Linked DNA regions of Oreochromis niloticus. The protein of the gene in region 2 binds, or shares a complex with, the protein of the main gene of each other region. Links are inferred from orthologs where the notes say so. Each region holds a gene or a part of one and is shown on either strand. Other genes may lie near its edges.

Region 1 (11,412 bases), on a different chromosome or scaffold from region 2:
TGCACCATTTGCATTTTGAGAGATCAGGGTAATTATAGCTGTTGGAATAATGCAATAAGTCAATGTGATTCATGAGAAAAGAGGATTTAGTTCAGCCTTGTGATCAGCTGTTCTTGTTGTCCTCTAATTGGAGAGCAGCAGGTTAATACCAACAGTATTGTTTGAAATGTTTTTGCCAGTGATCTGAGGATGCTTTCAAAAACATTGCCATTTATATTGCTTATCTAGAAACTGAATAAAAATGTGCATTTATAAAAAAGGAAAACAAAAAAATATCTAATCAAAAATAAAATGTTGGGATCATAGTTTGCTTTTGAAAGTGCACCAGTTCTCACAGTGTACAAGGTGTTTGGGGCAGGTTGGTTGAATGAAGCCTGTCTCAGTGCCCGTGTTTGTATGTAATCCCAGACTGACTCCTGGTTTTTGTGATCAGGGCTCTGTTGGGATCAGAGCATCTGTTGCATGACTCCTTTCCCTTAAAAGTTTGTGCTGCATATTGCCTGTCCAAGTTATATCTAAGAATGCAAATGTCCAATTTTCCTTGCTAGCTTGCTGTTTGGATAAAAATAGATGGAGAGTAGAGCATTTAAAGTTCCCAGTGAGGAAGTGTGCATCATGTGCGTTGCCTCCAGCATGCTCTACTCAGGCACCACCTCTCTTAAACATTACAAGCAACTCTCCACAACAAGGAGAGAGAGTTTAGGTTAAAGTTTTATAAACCTTGTGTGTATCGCTTTCTTCTCAGGGCGGCTCTAGACCGAGCAGCCGTGCTGCTGAAGATGAGTATGGGTGGGCTTCGCATAGATAGCCAGTGGGGGACAGGTGGAGGCCAGCAACCAGTCATACAGCTCATCAAAGAGGTAGGTTATGTAAAGCAGAATCCAGTACACTCTGAAATGAAAGCAGTTTTTCTGAATTGTAATTGGTTCTTATTATAAAGCTTTAATGAAACTGAAGCAGCACTGTACAGTCTTCAGCATCTATTGGAAGGGGGAGTTTGCAGAACTTCTTCCTCAAACGCAAACCGTGCTATGTTGATGAACCGGTCCTGCCTGGTCTCATTGTTTTCAAAATAGCAGTCATGTGTTCGAGAAACGTTAAGAGGTCTAAAAGGAAAGAACTGTTGAAGTAAAAGTATCAAAAACAAAACCCTTTTTAGAACTTTTGAGCAGTTGTGTGTAAAATATTTCGGTTTTCATCACTTTCAAGTGAAATTGGATAATGCTTCAAAATAACAGATCATACTTTCATGATGGTAGTAGACCTGCTTTTTTTTTTTTCTTTGTGCAGCTCTTTTTTTGCAGTATGGATATTGCCATAACAAAAATTCTCATTTGTATTCTGTCATGCCAGATGAACCTTCTTCTGAAGGAGTACATCCTATCTGGTGACAGCAAGGAGGCTGAGCGATGCCTCAGGGATCTTGAGGTTCCCCATTTCCATCACGAGTTTGTCTATGAGGTAAATTCATGGCTACGCTTGATGTAGTAGCAGACACGTTAAATGCAGTCTAAATGTAAAATGTTATAAAACTACTAAAACATTTTATCTGTTTGGAGGGGATTTCTTCAGCTTTACACCCTTACTGTTGTATTGTGTGGTCTTCAGTCAAACTGCTCCTGGTACTCCGAGTATTAACACAAGATTGCAAATTTTTCTATCTCTGTGTATCACAGGCGATAGTGATGGTGTTGGAGTCTAATGGAGAGAAAACTTTCAAAATGGTTCTGCAGCTACTCAAGTCACTCTCTGTGTCCTCCATCATTACTGTGGACCAAATGAGAAGGGTATGGTGCCACCTGGTGTCTGAATTATGCACTACTCTTTGTTTTTTTGGGGGGGGTTTTTTTGTAGTCAAAGGGTTTTCTTTTTCTTGTAGGGCTATCAAAGAGTTTACATGGACATCGCTGAAATTAACATCGATGTCCCTCGTGCATACTTTATCCTGGAGCAGTTTGTTGACAAGAGCTTCGGCATGGGAATCATTGATGTAAAGTTGAGGGATCTCTGTCCCTGTCGGTAAGCTCGCTGGTTTTCACACACATCTGACACTTGCCTCCAGAGATTCGCTTCTGTTTTTCTTAATCATGTTGTTGCTCTGATCTTCTCTCAGGGGCCGTAAGAGGTATGTCAGCGAGGGAGACGGTGGTGTTGTCAAACTTGAAAGCTACTGAGAAGACTTTCTGTGTGCCAGATTACCCCAAAAAACATAAAGCTACTTTTTTACTTGCATATTTTTCAAAGTACCTGAAAATGGTTTTTCTCCTTTCTAATGGTCAAAAGAAGGTACATTTCCAAAACTGAGGTGAGGGTAATTTAAAAAAAAAAATGCACTTGTGATTGAAACTAAAGTAGATCACTCTCTCCAAGGTGTTTCAATATAAACATTTACATAAGCTAGCTCTTAAAGTGCCACACCTCTCCGTGTCAGTCATTCCATATTGTTTTGTACAGTATTTTCTTGGTTTCACTGCCACTCCTTTTGTGTTTTCTAGAAAGCAGTGTTTGTATCGACATGACTGGTTTGTGTCAAGAGCTTTATAAAAATGTATTAAAAATAAAATAAAATAAAAGGGAGTTTGTTGGTTCAATGCAATACTGGCTTCCTAACTAGCTGCTGTTTCTATGCTGTGCTAGGTTTTCAGTCTTTAATCACACACATCCGTGGCATGAGTTCTGTGCAAAAATGAATACCGATCAGGTAACTTCACAAAGTGGTGTGTTAAAAGTGTTTATTTTTATATTTGGGGAATAAGGAGTGTGAGAGACACACCCTGATGCTCCTTGATTGTTGATTAAATCACTATGAAATCATTTCATCTGTTTTTGTCTGTTTAACACACAGTACTAACTGCATACTGCAACTTAAATAAGCAGTTATCGGAAAGATATAATCATAATAATATAACACTTTATAGTACATAAGTAGCTCACTACCCCTACTGGCAAGTAACAGATGTAATCTTTGCTAATTACATGTCGTAGATCATTCAATAATAACTACAGAACAGCAAGACTTTCAAAAGGGAGAAAGAGGGATTAAACACACTGTTTTTAAAACTCTGTAAAGCCAGATTCCCTCCAAGTCCATACAAATACATTCCAGTGCTTGGAATCAGTGCGTTTGCTTGATCCATCTGAAGGATTTTTTCCAGTTTAGGCATTTCTGTTTTTTCCAATCCTCCACTGGGTATCTACTGTAGTTGCTCCTTCATTGCCAGTTCCTGTTGTTTAACAGCCTCTTGAGCCTCCATTTGCATTTTCTCCAGTTTCTCAAGGGTGACTGATTTGAGTGGGAGCAGCTTTGGCTTACACAAAACCATAGTAGGGACATCTTCCATGGAGAGCTGTCCTGTGAGGTGGGGGGGATTAAAACAATCCACAAATGATTAAATCTTAATTAATTTAAGCATAAATGAAAATATAATGTAAAAACCTAGCATGTGTGGTATTTCTCACAAAAGTCTGCAGCACATTAGCTGTGAGAAATGTTCTCTTTACACTTTAACCTTTATAGTACTGCAAACAGAGCTACTGTTCTATTTAAAGGCGTTTCAAATATACGATGCTACATCTATAAACTTCTTACATCTTTTCAACCACTCCGGATGAATTCAACAATATTTTTGATATCTGGTCAACTAGTTACCAATCTGGCATCTTACACATCTGATTGTGAGCCACTGAACAGCTTGTTCTTACTAACAAGCAGTACACCTTTAACTAAAGAAATGCAATATTGTCCCAAATGTTGACCCCAATTATATTTTTAAGCCAGAAAAGACTTTCAGGAGAGACCACAGAGCGTATCTTGATTAAATCTCCAAGGTATTGTGAAATTTCAGTTCAGTTCACGTGTTGTCTTGAGAGCCACAAACAAACTTTTGTAACTACTGCTGTCCACATAGCTTTGGTACAAACCTTGTTTAGGAAGAACTTCTCTGAATATTGATTTGACCTCTGGCATGGTGTCCTCTGAGTGCTCGCTGAAAGGTAAGCATATTTGGACATTTCACTTTCTCAACTCAACTTTTTGACACATATTCATAAATTCCGAGTAGTTTTAGCATCATTAAATGCTCTCCGCTCGAGAGGGAATGCAAAATTCAAGGAGCCTGTTAGTTTTATAGTGGGCATTACATAGTTTATAATAAACTGATCAGCGGTTAGCCACAGGTCAGTACACAGTCGCAATAGCAGCAGCTACTCTGTGATGCATTTATAAAATCTGGCTATTGCAATATGCTACATTTTCACCTTTATTCAGTGTTGTGCTTCAGGGTACTTTGCACCTAATGAACAACGTCGGCCACTTTTATATAGAAACTTTTGTTCCTTGGCTTCAAAGGCATAAAGGTCTGAAAATGTACAAAAACAACACAATGCGTATGCTAGCTACACAAGCTCAGCTCCAGCTAAACTAACGATACCTTTGCTTTTAGCGAACGCACTCTAATCCAAAGACACTATGTCTCAACAATGCACAACAGTAGAAACAAATCAATACTATTCACCCACACGGGCATATGTAAAATGGAAATCTTTTTCTCACCTTCAGCACCAGGTAAAGATTACAGTTGTCAAGCCAACGCGTCCGCAAGAATCACGTGATTTTCTTCTGTTGTCTATTTAATTTGAACAGTGTTTTACTGGCACCTACAGGCAGCTAGCAGAATAGCAAAACTCAATAACTTTAATAATGTTTGACCCTATGAAGCAGGCATTATAGGGTCATTGAGCGTCTCACGCTTCACTTTTTTTGTACTTTTATTTTTGGACAGAACATGTGTGACAGTGTAGCTGCAAGGAGCAGAGGTAGTTGAGTTTAAGCATATTGGAGACAAAGTTAGAGAGACAAGACTGCTGCCAGACAGGAGGAAAGAAAAGAAGACCAAAAGGGGAAGACCAGAAGATTTGTTGATGTAGTGAGGGAGGACTTAATTGGTGTGACAGAAGATGATGCTAGGCATGATGATCCACTAGTGAACCATAAAGAGACCAGCCAGAAGAAGGAAAATAATTATTTGCACTTATTGCACTGATATAGGTTGGTAATGTCTCTGTATATGTAGAGAGATGGCTTCTGGTTGGCTTGCAAATAACTGAAAGTGTGTGTTGCGTACTCACATTTTTAAACAAAAAATATTAGATCTGTCGGGGGAAATTACTGCAGATGAAAAGCATTATTTCACCTTCAGAGTAATTTATATATGTTTCAGTGGGATATAAAAAATGAGTACCTTAAAATACAATTTTGAATGAATACTTGACAGCATTATTAGTTTGTAGTATAACCACTCTCAAGTACGGATGTCATGGTTGCAACAAATATATAGTCTGTGTCCGTGCATAATCGCTTTCTTCTTATTTCCACTGATATAATCTAATATTGTTATAGGGGTTTTTTTTATTGCCACAATGATCATGAAGTGAAAATATGATCTAGAATGATCTACTCTCACTTAGGATCTATGCGAAACTAAAAATATTTCTAGAGCTTAACAAGTTGTTTGTTATATAAAACACAAAAACTCAACACAAAAAATGTTTGGGATCTTTTATACACTGCTCAAAAAATATGAGGGGAACACTAAAACAACACAATGTAACTCCAACTCAGTCACACTTCAATGAAATCAAACTGTCCACTTAGGAAGCAACACTGATTGACAATCAATTTCTCATGCTGCTGTGCAAATGGAATAGACAACAGGTTGAAATTATAGGCAATTAGCAAGACATCCCCAATAAAGGAGTGGTTCTGCAGGTGGTGACCACAGACCACTTCCCAGTAGCTATGCTTTCTGGCTGATGTTTTGGTCACTTTTGAATGCTGATGCTGATGGTGATTTCACTCTAGTGGTAGCATGAGATGGAGTCTACAACCCACACAAGTTGCTCAGGTAGTGCAGCTCATCCAGGATGGCACATCAATGTGAGCTGTGGCAAGAAGGTTTGCTGTGTCTGTCAGCGTAGTGTCCAGAGCATGGAGGCTCTACCAGGAGACAGGCTAGTACATCAGGAGACGAGGAGAAAGCCATAGGAGGGTAAAAACCCAGCAGCAGGACCTCTGCCTTTGTGCAAGGAGGAAAAGGAGGAGCACCCTGCAAAATAACCTCCAGCAGGCCACAAATGTGCATGTGTCTGCTCAAACGGTCAGAAACAGACTCTATGAGGGTGGTACGAGGGTCTGACATCCACAGGTGGGGGTTGTGCTTACAGCCCAACACTGTGCAGGACGTTTGGCATTTGCCAGAGAAAACCAAGATTGGCATCTTCACCACTGGCGCCCTGTGCTCTTCACAGATGAAAGCAGGTTCACACTGAGCACATGTGACAGACGTGACAGAGTTTGGAGATGCCGTGGAGAACGCTCTGCTGCCTGCAACATCCTCTAGGATGACCATTTTGGCAGTGAGTCAGTAATGGTGTGGGTTGGCATTTCTTTTGGGGGTGGCGCACAGCCCTTCATGTGCTCGCCAGAGGTAGCCTGACTGCCATTTGGTACCGAGATGAGATCCTCAGACCCCTTATGAGACTATATGCTGGGGCAGTTGGCCCTGGGTTCCTCCTAATGCAAGACCATGCTAGACCTCATGTGGCTGGAGTGTGTCAGCAGTTCCTGCAAGATGAAGGCATTTACGCTATCGACTGGCATGCCCATCCCCCAGACCTGAATCCAATTGAGCACATTTGGGACATGATGTCTCATTCCATCCACCAATACCACGTTGCACCACAGACTGTCCAGCAGTTGGCAAATGCTTTAGTCCAGGTCTGGGAGGAGATCCCTTAGGAGACCATCCCCCATCTAATCAGGCGCATGCCCAGGCATTGTAGGGAGGTCATACAGGCAGGTGGAGTCCACACACACTGAGGCTCATTTTGACTTGTCATAAGGACATTACATCAAAGTTGGATCAGCCTGTAGTGTGTTTTTCCTCTTTAATTTTTGGTGTGACTCCAAGTCCAGACCTCCATGGGTTGCTCAACTTGATTTCCATTGATAATTTTTGTGTGATAATGTTGTCAGCACATTCAACTTTGTAAAGAAAAAAAGTATTTAATAGAAATATTCATTCATTCAGATCTGGGATGTCTTATTTTTGTGTTCCCTTTATTGTTTTTATTTTTTATTTTTTGAGCAGTATATTTCCACTGTCATCTGTAAATTGTATTCACTGTAAATTGAATGTGTAAAAATAACACACTGTATATAAAACATAGACATGACCACTGGTTTTTGTACTCCCCATTATGAAAGCTAGCATAAGTATTTTGTCTGCTGCCATGTTATTTTGTGGAGCCAGAAGTTATCATATAGAATGAAAGGGTGGCATTAACAGTCCCATCCATAACTGTGTGGCCTCTGCCCCCTCGCATCACCAGTAAGTTATTGCAGTAACAATCACACTCATGTTAATTATTTGGTTAATAGTAGCTCCGTAGTGGATCTACAGCAATTGCATTAGAAATGGTTTTGTAGGGCATGGGCTTATGCAATTCACAGTGTTTGGAGTAACCCCCATATGTCTAAATGAGACTAAAAAAAGAGGCCATTTTTTTTTAGCTTGCGCAACAAGGTTTAAAAGCATGATCTCAGTCAAAGGTTGCAAAACAAACTGAAATGCGCTGATATATTCTGGACTCACAAGTATCCTACTGTTTGGTGAGTTCATTAATCCTTTTCTGCATCTAGAGAGAGTCTCTCCTATATTGTGCACTATGCCATAAATGCAGATATTTTTGCACCTTTATAGCTTTATGACTATATTTCTCTGTGATCGTACCATGCTTGTATTGTTGATTATGCAGATGGGTTCATGATGTGGTTTAAATTAGGTTGCTGATGCTTGAATCTGTCTTGTATTTGTAAAGGTGGCCCAGTGTATAGGTTACAATTATAGAACTGCCTCTTGTAGTACTGTTTTAAATGTACATTGAACTCTTTTATTTATTCGTTTGATTTTATTTTGCATCTGTTTTGCAAGTCTAAACATTTTGCTGTGTGTATTTTAACATGGGATTGAATAACTTTTGGACCCAGCCCCAAGTGGCCACAAACCCCAAGTGGCTGCAGGGTTTTTTTTTTTTACACTTATGAGGGGGCGTTTTCGGCTCCAGGAGAGGGCGTTTTCAGGAGCTGAAAACTCAGAAAACTTTCATAAGTGTAAAAAAAAAGAGACGTAACATAAATTTAAAACAAAAATCCGCTCAGTTTTTTTAAGAACAGTCATCTGTGTTTAGTTGTTTTGAGAATGTATTTGCACACTTTTACAATTAATAAAAGTCAGAGACTTGTATGAGTTGGTTTTCTTTTTTAATTTTCTTTTCAATACATTATTTTAATGCTCCGGTTTGTAATCAATCATTATTATTATCTCAGATTGATTTTCACAGATAAATGTTTGTAAAATAATGGACGTTTGATTGCATTTCAAAGTCTCGTGATAACATTGGTTAGGCGTGTGAATGACGCAGTTTGGTGACCGGGGGAGGGAGGGGAGCAGAGCAGCAGTGTAGGAAAAGAGGAGGAAGCAGCAAGGATGGCGGAGTCACACCTCTGAAGGTAAAGCAGTTATTTTATTACATTAACAGTGGACGTTTTTATCCCCACAGCACGGTAACGCATTGCTCTAGAGCTAACGTACTTATCAACCTCTCGTTAAGGCGTGTGTAACGCCGATGTGTCATTTTGCGGTGGCGAGTACGAACGCACTCTTTTGTTCAGCTTCGGAATGGCCGCTGTTTTTCACTGTTTTCTTTTTTCTCGGCTCATATTCACAACGGGAACGGCGCTTAGATTCAGCGTTACAGGTTGTCGGCTCTTCGGTGTCCTTGCGTGGCTGCTCGGGTCGGGATATCAGCTGCCTTCACGCCTTCACAGGATGTTCTCTTTGGGTATCTGCTACCCGTATGCACTCAGCTGGCTACAGCAGAGATTTCCCCCCCTTCGGTCGGGTCGGTCTGCGTCCGACAGCCGCTCGGCTCGGGCCTGCGTTACACACACACACACACACACACACACACACATACACATACACACACATCTCTGCTAATGATTAAGCTAAGCGCTGGGTGTGAGTATTAGGGCAAATCTCGACACTCTCTCTGCACGGTCTAGCAAACACACACCAATGGTCCTTTATTGCATTATGTGCTAATGACAGCTGTTTTGATTTTCCTTGTTTGGAAAAAAAAGTACCGTTAGCTTGTAAGCTAAGTTGCTCGCTAGCTGACGGTAGCAATTTAGCAGTCTGGCATAACTGACGTTTGCCGTGCCGTTGACGCTCAGCTTAGCTGTTTTTATTTCCTGCCTTGTTGTCAGTCGTCTTAGCAGGCTGATGTTTCTCACAGTTTAAGAAAAGACTTTGCGACCTGTATTGTGTATTTTAGTTTCATGAGTGGCTTAGCTAACATAAGACATTTTAGCCTACTCGAGTTGGTTTACGACAAATAGTTGTCTTGCTTGTGGTGTTAGGTTAACAGTCACAACGTAGCATTATTAACGTCAAGGTGTTACATTCACATTACTGATAATACCCTGTCATACCCATATTAGGTGTTCATATCATGGAAATTGGATTATATTGAAATGCGACTTGACTTCTCGACCTGGTAGCTACCGTTTGTGTCGGTAGTCTGTTTCCAGGGGTTTGCCATTTGCACACGTAGCCACCAACCTAGTGGGGTCATGTGGAGTTCTGTTTAGTGGCAACAGCGATAGCTGCCACCTCACTCCTGTTGTGCAATTTTGCGTCCATCTATCATACGGAGATTCTATATTGACAGGCCTCAACTTACTGTGAAGTACCAGCAAGCAAATGACTGAGTATTTCTTGAATCTGACTATGAAGCATTTCTTTGCTTCGGACGTGCTTTATTGCATTCTCTAATTAGCTGATATATCGGCACATGTATCATCTGATCCTAAAGGGATTATAATGGACAAACAAGGGAGAACAGTTCCACTCATGCCCAAATGTACTGACATTAGCAGATGGGCCCAAGATATCCTTAATGGATAACTTCATTAGTCCATGTGGGAAGTTCAAATAGCACTTTATGGTGGTGTTGTGGTTGTGTTGATGGACAAATGCATTAGCTTTTTCTGCAAAACCGTGCTTGAGTTCAGCCTCATATTTACATTGGCTAAACAAGTAGTTTCAGCTTACACACATTCACACATGAGCATATCAGTCAGTTGTGAAGGGTGATATAAAGGCTCATCCATAATTTACCATCCTGATCAGACAGGTTTGGCTGAGTAGTTGCATAATTTCACATAAAGTTATGACTGTCCTTTGTTGACTAATTAGGTTTTCCAGTCATATGTATCCAGTTAAAATTGTCTTTCTTTTGTGGATTTTGTAGGGTTTAGCTAAGTAGTTGAATGATTGCTTAGGTGGGGTTGTAGGCTTACTGCAATGTTAACACCCACTGGGCCATGTTTGCGTAGCAGGAGCAAGTTGGTTTGCGTTTATCCTTAGTACACTAGACTTTCTTGGTCTGACTAAGCACACCCAGTACCACAGCATTAACAGTATCCTAGTTCTGACAACTGACCAAACCTTTTCCGTATGTGTGTGCTGTCTTTAGGTTGAACAGTCCCCCAAAAATTATGTTGTCATTGTACATGTTTTATGGCTTTTTCTTAGACCTCAGTATGTGTAGCGCATGTTTAGACTGAGGTGTAAAATAATAACGATAATCTTGGTGTGTACTATAGCCTCGGGGTTTACAGATGAGCCAAGTAAGGTTTCACTATGAGGATTAAGCCTGGGATATAGAACCTTTTGGTTACACGTAACTCAGACCACATAACATATTAATTGCTGACCTGGTTATGATTTGTCTGTTTTCAGTGTCTGCTAACTGAATATGAATGCACTTTTTTCCTGTTTTTTAAGAACAAATGAACCCTCATCCAAGTCTTTTTAGAAAGAGATTGGCTGCTGTAATGTGTTTTATATTAACACAAAGGTACCATAGCGAGCCATGGGGTAGCAGATGCCAAAAAAGCTAGCTAGCTTATTGCTAACTGCTGACCGGGAAATTATGCCTCAGCAGGAAATCTACTCTGTAGCTACATCATAACCACAAACCCTTCTGAAACTCTACACCATAACCTGACGTGTAGCTTCCTAGAAATGTAACTACACTTTGTGTCGACGCAGCAATATCTCTTGTGCATTTCTGGCTACTTTTTCACTGCAGATTTTATATTTAGCATTGAGAGAATAACAATCATTGTTTCAGTAATAACAAATAATAACCATAACATCAATATAAGGAGTCACAGATGTCAGCAAATTGCTGGATGTAGACTACTGAAACTATAAGAACTGATGTGAGGGAATGTTCAAAGTGCAAAACTAGAGTGATGCACATAGAGAAGAAAAGGTACACTGA
Region 2 (12,126 bases):
ATTCTCCCTGTTGCCAGGGCAACAATGTCTCTCGCAAGCCAGGTGCTTGTGACAGAAGAGCGAGGGTATAGAGACAGAGTCATAGAGGGAGGCTGAAGGAATGAGCAGAACAATGTAAAGCCAGCTTTAGAAAGGGTTAGGTAACCTCGAGAACCGAACCACAACGCCTCCAAGTCCTCTTCCCAGTGGAGTACAACATTTCATTTTACAAGGAAACACACATAATTCCAATTCAAGCGAGTCTGATTCTGGTAATCCCGTTATCTTGCACCTACTACCTTCCTCTGAGGCTAAAAATAGGATTGAAGGCATTGTGAAATACAGTGCTAGGCTTTACCATTGACACTGGTGGGGGGGTGAGTATCGTTAACGAACTCTGAGTGTTAAAAAAAAAAATATACAGTGTGAATTACACCAAAGCTCCCCTCTGTTTTTATCTTTCATCGCCTCAAGAAGAGCTTTGCCGATCTGCTGCTAGAACTTGAGCCCATTCCAGATACTTCACGGAAATCCACTCCATCGCCGACTGTGAAACGGCACGGGCTCCACACGTTTGCCACGTCAAGACTGGGAATGGCCCTATTTGTAGGGACCCTAATCCGCTTTCTTCCTGCTGAGACAGCAATAATATTCTTGTCTCTGGGTTTCAGCTGTGGTCCTGCGGTGCTCTATGGTCCACATACATAAAGCAAGGCAGAATTTGGAGAGGAGTGATGGGATACATGGGTAACGTGTATTCCTACAACTACTGTATGAGAGAAGGATAGAAAGAAGCACAGAAGAACAGCCCAGCACGAGGTCTCCTAAATATAGTAATGTGAAAAACTTCATTGCAAAGAGAGAGTTTTCTCATTGTTATATTTGATCTGGATGAAGCTAAGGCAGCTTTGCCCTCAATGTGTTTCAACCATCTGTTAAAAGGGGATAAGAGCAGAGGAGAGGCATGCTGAGATCAAAAGACACATGGGGAGAACGTAATGAAAAATATGATGAATATTATTTTTGGAAGTTCAACCACACACACAAAAAAACCCTCCAAAAAAAGCCTTCATCTTGTCAAGTCATTTAGTCTCACATCAAGATGCTGACACTTTTTTTTTTCCTTTATCAGGAATGTGCCAGAAATGACTGTCAGTATCCTGAAAAAAATAAGGCAGACTGCTACATTAGAGTCAAGAAATTCACACTGGATTTTATTAAAATCTAACATACTGTACTATTTTTTTTAAAATTTACTTTAGATCTTTCCATTGCACAACACCTGTCAGGTATTAACACTAAGAATGCACAAACTGCCGTCCTCAAAATCTAACATAATATACTCTGCATACTACTCTGCATAGCAAAGGTAAATTTGTGTATGCCTTAAATAACCATAATTACATTTCACGATGGTAACTGCAGAATGACTGTGATTTATGGACACAATTAAGGTTTATGTCTCGTTGCTTGATTATGTCAAATCTTTAAATGTCTACATTGCAAAAGGGATCAGTCCTTGCATGTGACTGTTTTATTCCAGTCGTGATCCCAAGTTTCAGTGATGAAGTGCCAAAAATCGGCTGATATATACTTTAACACACTTTGCATTTGGAGAACTTTTTATAGAACTATTTTTGCGTATACAGTCTGTATGAGGCATAATGAAGTCACAATTCCCTGTAGATGAATCTGTGAAGTTCATGCACCCAGCTGCCACTTTATTTTTAACTCAGCAGCGGCTTTAAAACATTGCATCTCAATTTTAAAGTTCCTCTGCGTTCAGGTTGTTTTCAAGTCTGCTCCCATTGGTGTATGTGTATTCGTCTCCTAAAATCCAATCTTTACTTTCTGTTTTTTTTAACTTAGTTAGAACAGGGGTGTGTCTTCGAATCATATTAAGTACAACCCAGGAAAGGGTTTGCATGCTAAATAAAAATTATCATTACCACATCATAGCATGTATTCAACTGCTTCCACAGAGATGCAATTCTCAGTAGCTCTGATTATTATTATTATTACAAAGCACTATAAAAGAAAAAAAGACAAAATATCTGTGGGCAGAAGTATAAACTATTTAATGGCACATTAGGCTTCAATAATGATGACAAAACATCCTCTAATGATCACCAGACATTTTCTACACAGAGAAATATCTGGAAAATGGCTCAGCAGCATAATGTAGCCACAGCCTGTTCCTTACAGCGGAAACAAACAGAAGGGTGAGGGTGACCTCTGCAGGCCGTTCACTTCCAAAACCTTTAGTTTCAGTTATCAACACTTAACCAACTTTTAGAAATGAATTTTAAAAAAATGAATGTCACACAACGACATGAAAATAATTCAATTAATTTCAGAACATGACCTGCAGTACTTTCACTGTACCTTTAGGCGCCCGACGTTTCTTGGGTTCAGTAGCAACAGGGAGCTGAAATATGTGACAAACAACACAAGCAGAAAAATAAATAACAGCAAACAGGAGTCTGAAAGTCAAGTGAAAAAGAAAAGCTTCCTCAGGACTCTCAGGACTCTATGCAGACCTGTGAAAAGCTACATCGATCCTTACTTCTTCTATATGAATTAAGAAGGTCAGTAGCAGCCAGCCAATCAGATGCACTTAATTAACTGATCATCGGCAAGTGTGAGCACCTCTATCAAAGATGATGTTTTCTTTTAGTTTGCTGGTTTGGAGCAAACAGGTGTGTTTTAACACAATGCAACAACCTTCCCAGAAGTGGGCGTCCCTTCAAAATCACCCCAAGGTCAGATGCTTACTGCTCAGAGAAAATGCAGAAAAAAAATCCAAGCACTACATCTCAGACTCTAAAGGCCTCAGTTTGCATGTTACAATTTAAAGTTCATGACAGCACAATTAGAAAAAACAATTATGGCTTTTCTGGTAGGATTGCCAGGAGAAAGCCTGGCATCACAGCTTAGGTTTGAACCAAACTCCAAAAGTTCTGAAAAATGTCCACTGGACAGATGAGATCAAAGTACAGATCTTTGGTCATGATGCACAGCGCTGTGTATGGTAAAGATCAACACAGCATATCAGCACAAACACCTCATACCAATACCATGGGTGTGTTTTGTAGCCACAGGGCCTGAGCACCATGTTATTGAGTCGATCACGAACTCTCCTGCATACTAAAGTGCAAGAGAATGGCTGAAAAAGAAAACAATCAAGGTGTTGCAATTGTCCAGTTAAAGTCCACACCAAAACCTGACTGAAATGCTCTGCCAGGACCTTAAGAGAACTGTGCATAAACAAATGCTCACAAACCTTAATGAAGTGAAGCAACTTTGTGAAGATAAAGTCATGCAAACAAGTATTACTAATAATTATTACAAGTTATTGCTTTTACATGGTACCTCTACAGGCTATTGAATCATGGGGTGTACTTGGTTTCTCAGAGCACTGCACAGAGTCCTGCAAAAACACATGACTTTTCACATGACTGTGTGGTACACAGTAAAATAATCCTTGGGCAGCCCTCACCAAAATACAGAAAATCCTGTCCACTCAAAAACTGATAAAAGGCTGTGTGGAAATGTGGGCCAACAAGCTGAATGACATGTGTGTTGACCTAATGAACAGAGAGAGGAAAAAAAACTATTTCCCAATCAAAGAGTAGAAGCATGCAGATCTACTGCCAGTCTATGGTGTACTGCATGTCCTACTCCAGGACTACAGCTGATTCTAATTGTATATGCCTTTGCTAGATAAAGAATGAATTGAACTGCTCTGCACAAGCTCACATGTCATCTTCCTCCCTCCATACACCATAAAAAAATGTATATATAATGTGTAGGGTTGGATAGACTTGGTGACAAAGAGCTGCCTATTTGTCACCAATTCAGTTTATAACTTCTATGGACAGAATTTCTAGGCATAACCAAAACATACTGGAGAGATTATGTCTCTCGACTGCTCTCTCTTTTCAGTGTTCCTCCAGAACAGCTGGAGGAGGTGACTTGGGAGAGGGCTGTTTGGGGGTCTCTGCCAGACTGCTGCCACCACATCCCGAATAACCATTAAATGAAAGGATGAATGGACAGATATATTAAATGAATACATTTAATTCAAATTTTTGAGATGTAGCGGTAAACTTTTGCAATGTAACGTGCTCCTGTGTATGCTCTGTTCAGTGACTGCAACAACAGTAACATTTGCTATCTTCGAAATGTACAGGTAGATGCACGCATGCGCAGTTCTTCTCGCATCACATATTTTTCTTCCCATATTTGACCTCACTTGTGGATTGTTTTGGATGTGGTTGCTGATGCTTAGCAGTTTATTGATATTCTCTACATTTCATTACACGCTGAAAGCTATTGTGCCACAGCGATAATAGAACTGCGATTGGTGGTAAGCCGGTTAATGAAAAGCTGCTTGATAACGTTTTCTACGTTATCGTATATTAAGGGTGGGCTAAAGCTTCCCAAACAGTCCACAGCAACCCTGCCACAGCTACAGCTGTCAGTGTTAAGGTTTAAATTTGCCCTTGAGTGAGTGAGATTAGTCTCGCAAGTTGCCTTTAGCTGCAGCTTAATCAACTTAGCGCCGACTTAGAATAGGCTAGCCACCTAGCTAACTAACGTTCAAGTCAGCGTTATAGAAAGCGTGTGGCAAAACCTGGAGTCGGGCTTTCTCGCGAAGTGTCACACTTTCATTGTATTTCGAGTCAAGTTTGTGTTTATTCAAGAAAAGGAGGAGCAGCTCGCATCGCACTCACCGTTGCGGTTGTTTCCGCGTCCGCCATCTTGGGATGATCAACACTAGAAGCTGTTGCCATGGATACGTCAATGGCGCGCAGACACGTAGCTGGTTGGATTTGTGCTCTGGGACCGATTAAAGAAAAAAACTTTATTTACAAAAAAAGGGTTTAAGAACCATTTTTACTGATAAAGCCACGTCACATTAAATGCATTAGCCAACCCCTTCCTCTACTTATTGACTTTAGCTTAGCTACACAAAATTAATCATTCAAGAAAAAAAATGAAATGCTGATTTTCGGTTTCATTCGCAAACAAAAACACAGCTATAGTTCAGGTTATTTATTTATTTTATTTTATTTTTCTCCCAACACCTTTAACAGGGTAGATGTCCATTAAGACTGACTTTACTCTCAGTCTGCGTCACTGTCGGCAAACTCTAACAGTCACGTGGTCATATATAGATGTTGGGTCTGCCAGTGGATGTGACAAGAGATCATAGGTCCATGGTTATGTGTGTCTCTCAGTAAAGACGGTCAGTGTAGTATACAGAATCCGACCATATATTTCTGTGTGTTTTAGATTTTTCCTTTGCTTATAAACAAAATACATCTAGTAATGCAAACAGGGCACACAAACACCAGAATTGTGGCTTTTTCATGTTTCGAATTTGCAATCTTTCACCTTTTTCACTCTATAGGATTCTATGTAGTCTTAATAAATAAGTACACCACATGATTCAGTAGCTTGTAAAATCACCCTTAGCAGCAAGAACTTAAACTAATAATTTTCTGTATGACTTTATCAGTCTTTCAAATCATTGCAGAGGAATTTTGGCCCACTCTTCTTTACAGCATTTCTTTAGCTCATTGAGGTTTGCAGATATGTGTTTATGCACAGCATTTCAGTCAGGTTGAGGTCTGGACTTTGACCGGGCCATTGCAATCTTTTCTTTTCATAGAATTGATGCTGTGCTTGGGATCTGTGTCCTGTTGTGTATCATCACTTTTATAGACTCTTTTGGTATACAGAGGAGTTCATGGCTAACTTAGTGACTGCAAGGTGCCCAGATCCCATAGCTGCAAAACAAGGCCAAATCATCACCCTTCCTTAGTATAAGGTGTTTTGTGCTGATCTCTCCTAAGAGCTGTGCTGCCATGTTCTTCTTCAAGACCAAGAATTCCTCCTGGCAACCCTTAAAGCAAGTCATATTTGTTTAATAAATGTACTGTAATAAACTTTAACGTTGAAATGTAGTTCTTGTGTGTAAACACTGCAATAAAATAAATTTGCTGACATCCACTCCTGGGAAGATTGTGGCGATGTGTTAAAACTTGTGTGAATGAGCCAGAATGACATTGTCTATTAGGCAGAATGTACACTGATTAGGCATGCTGTTATGACCAGCTACCTATTATTATGTTGGTCACCCCTTTTTCTGTCGAGGCATGGATCCCACTAGACCCATGAAGATGTGCTGTAATAAAAGATCAGTTGATGTTAGTAACAGACTCTTTAAATCCTGTAAGTTGGGCTGAAGTTCAGCAGAGGAAGGGGGTCAGCATGGACACTGACATTCTCACACCTTTCTATGAGAACCACGTTTAAATATTTTGGGCAATTTGAGCTATAGTAGCTCGCCTGTTGGATCGGACCACACAGGACAGCCCATAACCCTGTCGCTGGTTCACCACTGTTCCTTCCTTGGACCACTTTTGATAGATAATAATACGCTTCTAACAAGACCACTTCCAAGACTTCAATTCAGAATTTTATAGACAGTACAGTTTATTGAATGTTAAGATTTCCAATGCATACCCCAGCAGTAAATATGTTTAAATAAGTCACCGATATTTACATAATCTTAACACATTCTGATCACAAGAAAACTTCACCAGTTGTTCCACAGGCTACAGATAAAAAAAAGAGAATTAACAGCCTTGAACTTGAATCCTCACACAAAGATTTGTATGTTACTGTTTAAAGGCACTGAGGTACAAACATCAGATCAGGAGTATACAGTATTTATATACTTTACACACACACACACACACACACACACAGTCACACACACACAGAGAAAGGGATGAAAACACTAAAACCTAATTCCAAGTAGGTGCAGCTAGAAAAAACAGGAAATTAAGTTAACATGTAGTAAAACTAACATGGGCACAAAGTCAAAAATATTGTTCTTTCTACTCATTAATGCACTTTTCATGTAAATACATTCAAATTCTATACTTTCAATAACTTTACATGAATAAACCCGTACCCCCCCTTTTATTTTAATCACTGCAAGTCTCTGTATTATGCCAAGTTTTCTTAACATGAATTAAAATGTAACATCTTCATTTGCTTCAAGAACAGCTTTAAGCCTCACTTCATTAAAAAAAAAAAAAATCAGTAAACAGATTAAAACAGTACAAATGACCTCTTTATCCCATCACCTTCATTAATCAGCAGCTCATCCTATTGTCATATACACATCAAAACATCAAATTTGGAGAGCAAAGTTCAAACTGCACAGTAATGTAACAGTATGCATTTATTATCATTTATACTTTTACAGGACATCTGAGAGGAAGGCAACTGTGCATAAAGTGTATTATTGGTATTAATGCACTTATAGTCAGGACAGTTATCCTGCAAGGTTTTGCATGCTGCTGTAATGCGAAAAACATTTAGTGGATCCATCGCTCACAGATGGAAAAAAACATTCTCATGTCAAGTGAGAATCCAAACTTGGACAAAGAGTTTATATTTCAAGCCTCAGTATGTCATTCCTACATTAGCAGGGAAAAATCCTGATACTTTTTACTGGGATCTTTAAGGATTACTGGATTTAAATCAGTGTTTCTTGTATTGCAGATAATCTCACATGTATCTCTTTAGTCTACTCTGTTAAATGCTTTCAATAGCTATGCAGTGATGAAATGTTGTAATTTTATTTGTGTGGGGTCCTCACCTTGCCCTCTATCTAAACCCCAGCTTCAGATTTCCTACTGGACATTTCCCTAAAGCATAAATGAATATGACATATGCTGATGAGATCTGTGCAGGTCTTTACAAGTTCCATCCATTTTATTTTTGCATTTTATAATCTTTTTACCTTTTTTTTTTTTAAATTAATGTGCCGTCCCATTATCAGTTCATCTGTGAAGCTCTTTGAATTGCACTGTCCTTCATCAAAGATGCTATACAAATAAAGTTTAACTGAAAGTAGGGTCCTATTCCTATAAGATGATTTTATGTCTTTAGCTACGCATCTACCTAAATTACACCATTTTTTTTTATTATTTAGTTTTTTGGTGGACATGGAGAATGGAGACACCCCACTTGGTATATACTCATAAGTTACTTGCTTTTTGCCCTTTTCCCTAAAAATTCCTTTACACCAACTGGATAATGTTGGGACGTGGCTAGCCCGGTATGCTGGTCAGAAAAGAGAATAGCCAGAGACACAAAACTTGTAGAAATCACTAATTTTCCTGGCTCCTGCCAAAGGCTCCCTGGGCAGCGGAGGTAGCAGCGGTGGTTGCAGCATTTTGGACAGTTCGGTTGGTCAGGACACCTTGTGAAAACTCCTGCTGGGCCTTGGTGAAGCTGGCACCTGTGTTTCTGTATTTAGAATGGACCTGGGATGATAGGAAAAGACAGAAAATTGTAAACAATGACAGGCGATCAAATGATGAAACCGTGTTTAACCTGCTGGTTCTTGTAAGGTTCAGGCCATGGTTCTTATGTCTACAAAGGAGATCATGAGTTCAGTTTCATTCATCTGTTAGTGAGGAGGATATCTGAAAATACAATACATGTCTAGTGGAGAGTTATGAGCCAAGGAACAGATTATTGTTTTAAGAGTTGTATTTGTTTGTCCCCCACTTTTTGCATTAAGATGAAATATTATGTCCACTTTCTAATGAATTATCGTCTTTATAAACCAAAAGACACTCCAGGAACTTCTACATGGAGGAAAGTCTGTAGAGTAAGTGCATTCAGCACACACACTTGGTTTGAATATTTCCTCTGAAGCCATTTTGTCACCCCGCGATTTTTAGTTTGTCTTTGACGTAGCTTCCAGATATAAATGAGAAAACTCAACAACTAAAACATGTTTAAAATACTTTGCTTAGGGTTATTCAGTTCATCAAGATACATTATATTAAACCTGACAGGTTCATAATAAAGTAATGAGATTACCTCTAAAAGTAATATATGTAAACAGAGGTTTTACTTTTGCGTACCATTTTCAGCAGGATGATAGCCAGCACAGAGTTTACAGTGAAAAATCCAGCCACTACCATCATAACCACAGCCACAGCCAGGTTTTTCTTGCTGATCATGGTGATTGATGTTATCCATCCACTGTCAAAACCAGAAACATGCAAGAGGAAAAAAGGTGTAATTGCACATTTTCTCTATAATTATTATATACAGTATATTATATTATACTGAAAGTTTTTTTTTTGTGGATTAAAGAGAAATACACAAACAACCAGATACCAAATGTAAAGCATGAAGTTTGTAAAAATGACACATGGAAACCTGAGGAGCTTTATATATGATAGAAAAGAAATCCCAAAATAAAAGTTACACACACTTACAAAGCAGCAACCCAGATTTATTAGGGCAGCAGGAATCTGTCAAAGAAATGCAATAGAGGAGAGACAGGAGAAGAATTCACACACAAACACATGTGTGAATGAAGAAATGTGGTGGTCCATGCACACTGAATGTATCCCAAAGCAGCATGCACATTCATACTGATGAAAAACAGAATCTTGGTGCACTTCCACCACACTTTCAGGTAGTGTAGGAAAAAATAAATAAATAAATAAATCCCACTGACCTGTTGCCCCAATGGGGAATCCCCACAGTCTGGATAATGTAAACTGCCACTTGGAAGAAGAAGACAAAAAAGAAGAAAAAGAAGCTGAAAGAGCTGTCAGACCTATAGAGGAGAAAAAAAGGAAAAGGGGACATTATTAATGCGAAGGTGCTCACTGGTTTGCTGACATATTGCATAATAGAGATATTAAGTTTCACAATTGCATGAAGTCATAAAAATGAGTCTGGAGATCATTTACAGTTTGAAGACTTGAATTAAAGTTCATAAGTGTAAACAATACCAGTGACACAGCATACCTAAAGGCCTTGTAGACCGGCCTGTACCAACAGACGAAGGCCACGGGGGTGAAGAGAATGAACCAAAGAAGAGCCAGACCAAAGTCAACACCATAGCTATTGTCTACGGTGAAGCAAGCCAGGCAGGCCAGCACGTTGAGGAAGAGAGTGGCACTGTGGACTGGAGAGGTGCAAAAGAAAACCAGTGACGCAGACATACACTTATAATACAACACTGCTTATAAAAAGTTCTGGTGAACCATCCTCTGTGCACTTTTAAACTAATAGGCATGAATGGTGTCTTTATTATGGTTATTATTATCTCCTTCGTAACAAATTACTTTCCCAAATGTGGGGTAAATAAAGTATTTCTTAACATATTAGTGCAGCAATTATGACTTTAAACAATCTAGTATCTTGTAATGGATAAAGTTATAAATCATGATTCATTTGTAAAGAAAAAAGTATGAACTTCATCAAAAGTATGATCAGTGGAAAGTCTTGATACATCTTTAAATTTAAAAGCTGAGATTTGATGTACTATACCATCCTTTTAGGTCAGTGATTAGCATATAAAATACTACAATCAGGGCAGGGGTACATACACATCCAGAGGTAGTACATTCTCTTGCACATCCTGCGGTAGTCCTCTGGGATTTCCTCCTCAAAATTCTGATAAAAGCAGGGCTTTACAGGGAAGAACCTTGGAAGAGGTGGCCAATTGTTCTCTTTAGCTGACAGGAAAAGATTTAAAAACCTTATTATCATTTAAGACTTAACACATACTCAACACAACTACATCAAATACCTGCAGCCACTTACCTCCGGGGTTCGATGCGCTGCCTGCCCTCCTGTTCTCTAGCTCCTGTTCCTTCCGCTCCAGCTCTGCTGCTTTCCTCTCCAGCTCCTCCTGCTGTTTGATCAGGTTAGCCTGGGCAGCAGCTGCTTTAGCCTGATGTGTGATAGCAGACCTGCATCTTAATACGGTCTTCAATATTGTTGAACACAATTTCCTCATGCATGTACTGCACTAATATAACCATCCAAGGTGCTGCTTTCTTGCAGTGATAAGCTAGATGGTCCCTGCAGTAAAATGTGATGACTTTTGGAGCGCCTGTGGCTCAGGATGTACACCAGGTTGTCTACCAACCAGCAGATCGTTGGCTAGATCCTCCACCAATCAAATCTGCATACCAAAGTGTCCTTGAGCAAGACATTGAACCTTTAATAAATTACCTGTGATGCACCGATCAGAGTGCAAGTGTGTGGGTGGTAGAGAAGCATTTCTTAGCATTGTTTATGTATGGACTGGTCCGGGACTTGGATACAGACTTTCTACTCAGTTGAGCACTCAAAATTCTTTCTACTACACCTCTCATTCATCCAGTCGCACACATTTATACATTATTCATGATAAAGTGCTTATTAACATTCTCTCACACACACACACACACACACACACACACACACACACACTAACGATCCAGTGGATGCATCAGGGGCTACTCAAGGATCAGTATCTCTTCAAAGGAATGCAAATGTGGAGTCAGGGATTGGCCCATTGACCTTCCGATTAGTAGGTGACCCACTCTACCACTCGAGCTACATTCGACCAAGTAAAGAAAAATAAATATACTCATTCTTCTTTGCATGGTAGTGACTTCCATTTCTTGAAAACTTAACTGAAATCGGTTAATCTTGTCTGATCTCATTATTTAAACACGCTGAAATACATTCGTCTCACTCACTTTTGGGTTCTGCTCCACAGATGTCTGTAGTACAGCTGGTTGAGAGGGTGCAGCAGAGATAGGGATTGTCGTCCCAGAGTGGTGTCCCTGTAAAAAAGGTTGAAGCAATATCTCTTTTCAAATATATTTTCATAAAACCAAAGGATATGGTTCCTGCTGAACACCATATCACAATATGATATGAGCAGTTCCATTTAAAACACAAAGGCTGACCATTTCCGGGGAAGAGAATGGGTTGTACTCCCCGACGTTGTCATTGACACTGATGGTGGCTTGTGTGACTGAAGCATCCTGGGAAGAAGAGGAAAAAAAAGAAAGATCAAACACACAGTAAGGTGTGACACTGAGAATCCATGACTGTTCAGTGTTTATGTGGTGCCAACTGTGGAATTATAGGAGTGTCCCATCCAGTGGAGGAGCAGCACCTGAACACTGAATTTTCTCTCACCAGATTATCTATTAATAACACTCTTGGCCCTGGACCACATTTGTTTCAGTTAAATTACAGTTTCTTGTGTGTGTGTTTGAATAAAGATTAAGCATCAGTTTCTTAAGTTAA

The links.
Region 1: the proteins of bbs4 (region 2) and bbip1 are in contact, whole or in part, in a cryo-EM structure (PDB 6VBV), measured with the Bos taurus proteins. The link is inferred for Oreochromis niloticus from reciprocal best matches to the Homo sapiens genes BBS4 and BBIP1. Residues at the interface, in NP_001069424.1 of Bos taurus: Leu210, Leu213, Tyr236, Leu240, Ala241, Ser244, Gln247, Thr248, Ser269, Pro271, Asn274, Asn275, Met278, Phe281, Gly282, Lys284, Tyr298, Leu299, Pro301, Leu302, Asp303, Trp304, Lys305, Ile306, Tyr308, Asn309, Leu312, Leu315, Thr316, Gln318; in XP_003587939.1 of Bos taurus: Met7, Phe8, Arg9, Glu10, Val11, Leu12, Pro13, Lys14, Gln15, Gly16, Gln17, Leu18, Tyr19, Val20, Glu21, Asp22, Leu28, Lys30, Pro31.

The regions. Positions count from the first base shown.
Region 1 is NC_031971.2:30,057,449-30,068,860, reverse strand, and holds bbip1 (BBSome-interacting protein 1), read right to left. Parts: upstream 4,648-11,412; 5' UTR 4,553-4,647; intron 3,987-4,552; 5' UTR 3,968-3,986; coding exon 3,922-3,967; intron 3,353-3,921; coding exon 3,195-3,352; 3' UTR 2,931-3,194; downstream 1-2,930. Other genes in the region: pdcd4b (programmed cell death protein 4b), read left to right, coding at 746-860, 1,354-1,461, 1,677-1,787, 1,880-2,019, 2,114-2,174.
Region 2 is NC_031965.2:11,058,228-11,070,353, forward strand, and holds the start of bbs4 (BBSome complex member BBS4), read right to left. Parts: upstream 4,831-12,126; 5' UTR 4,776-4,830; coding exon of another isoform or gene 4,716-4,775; intron 2,408-4,715; coding exon of another isoform or gene 2,365-2,407; intron 611-2,364; 5' UTR 84-610; coding exon 1-83. Other genes in the region: scamp2l (secretory carrier membrane protein 2, like), read right to left, coding at 8,175-8,330, 8,940-9,060, 9,545-9,646, 9,841-10,000, 10,425-10,553, 10,642-10,771, 11,568-11,654, 11,781-11,858.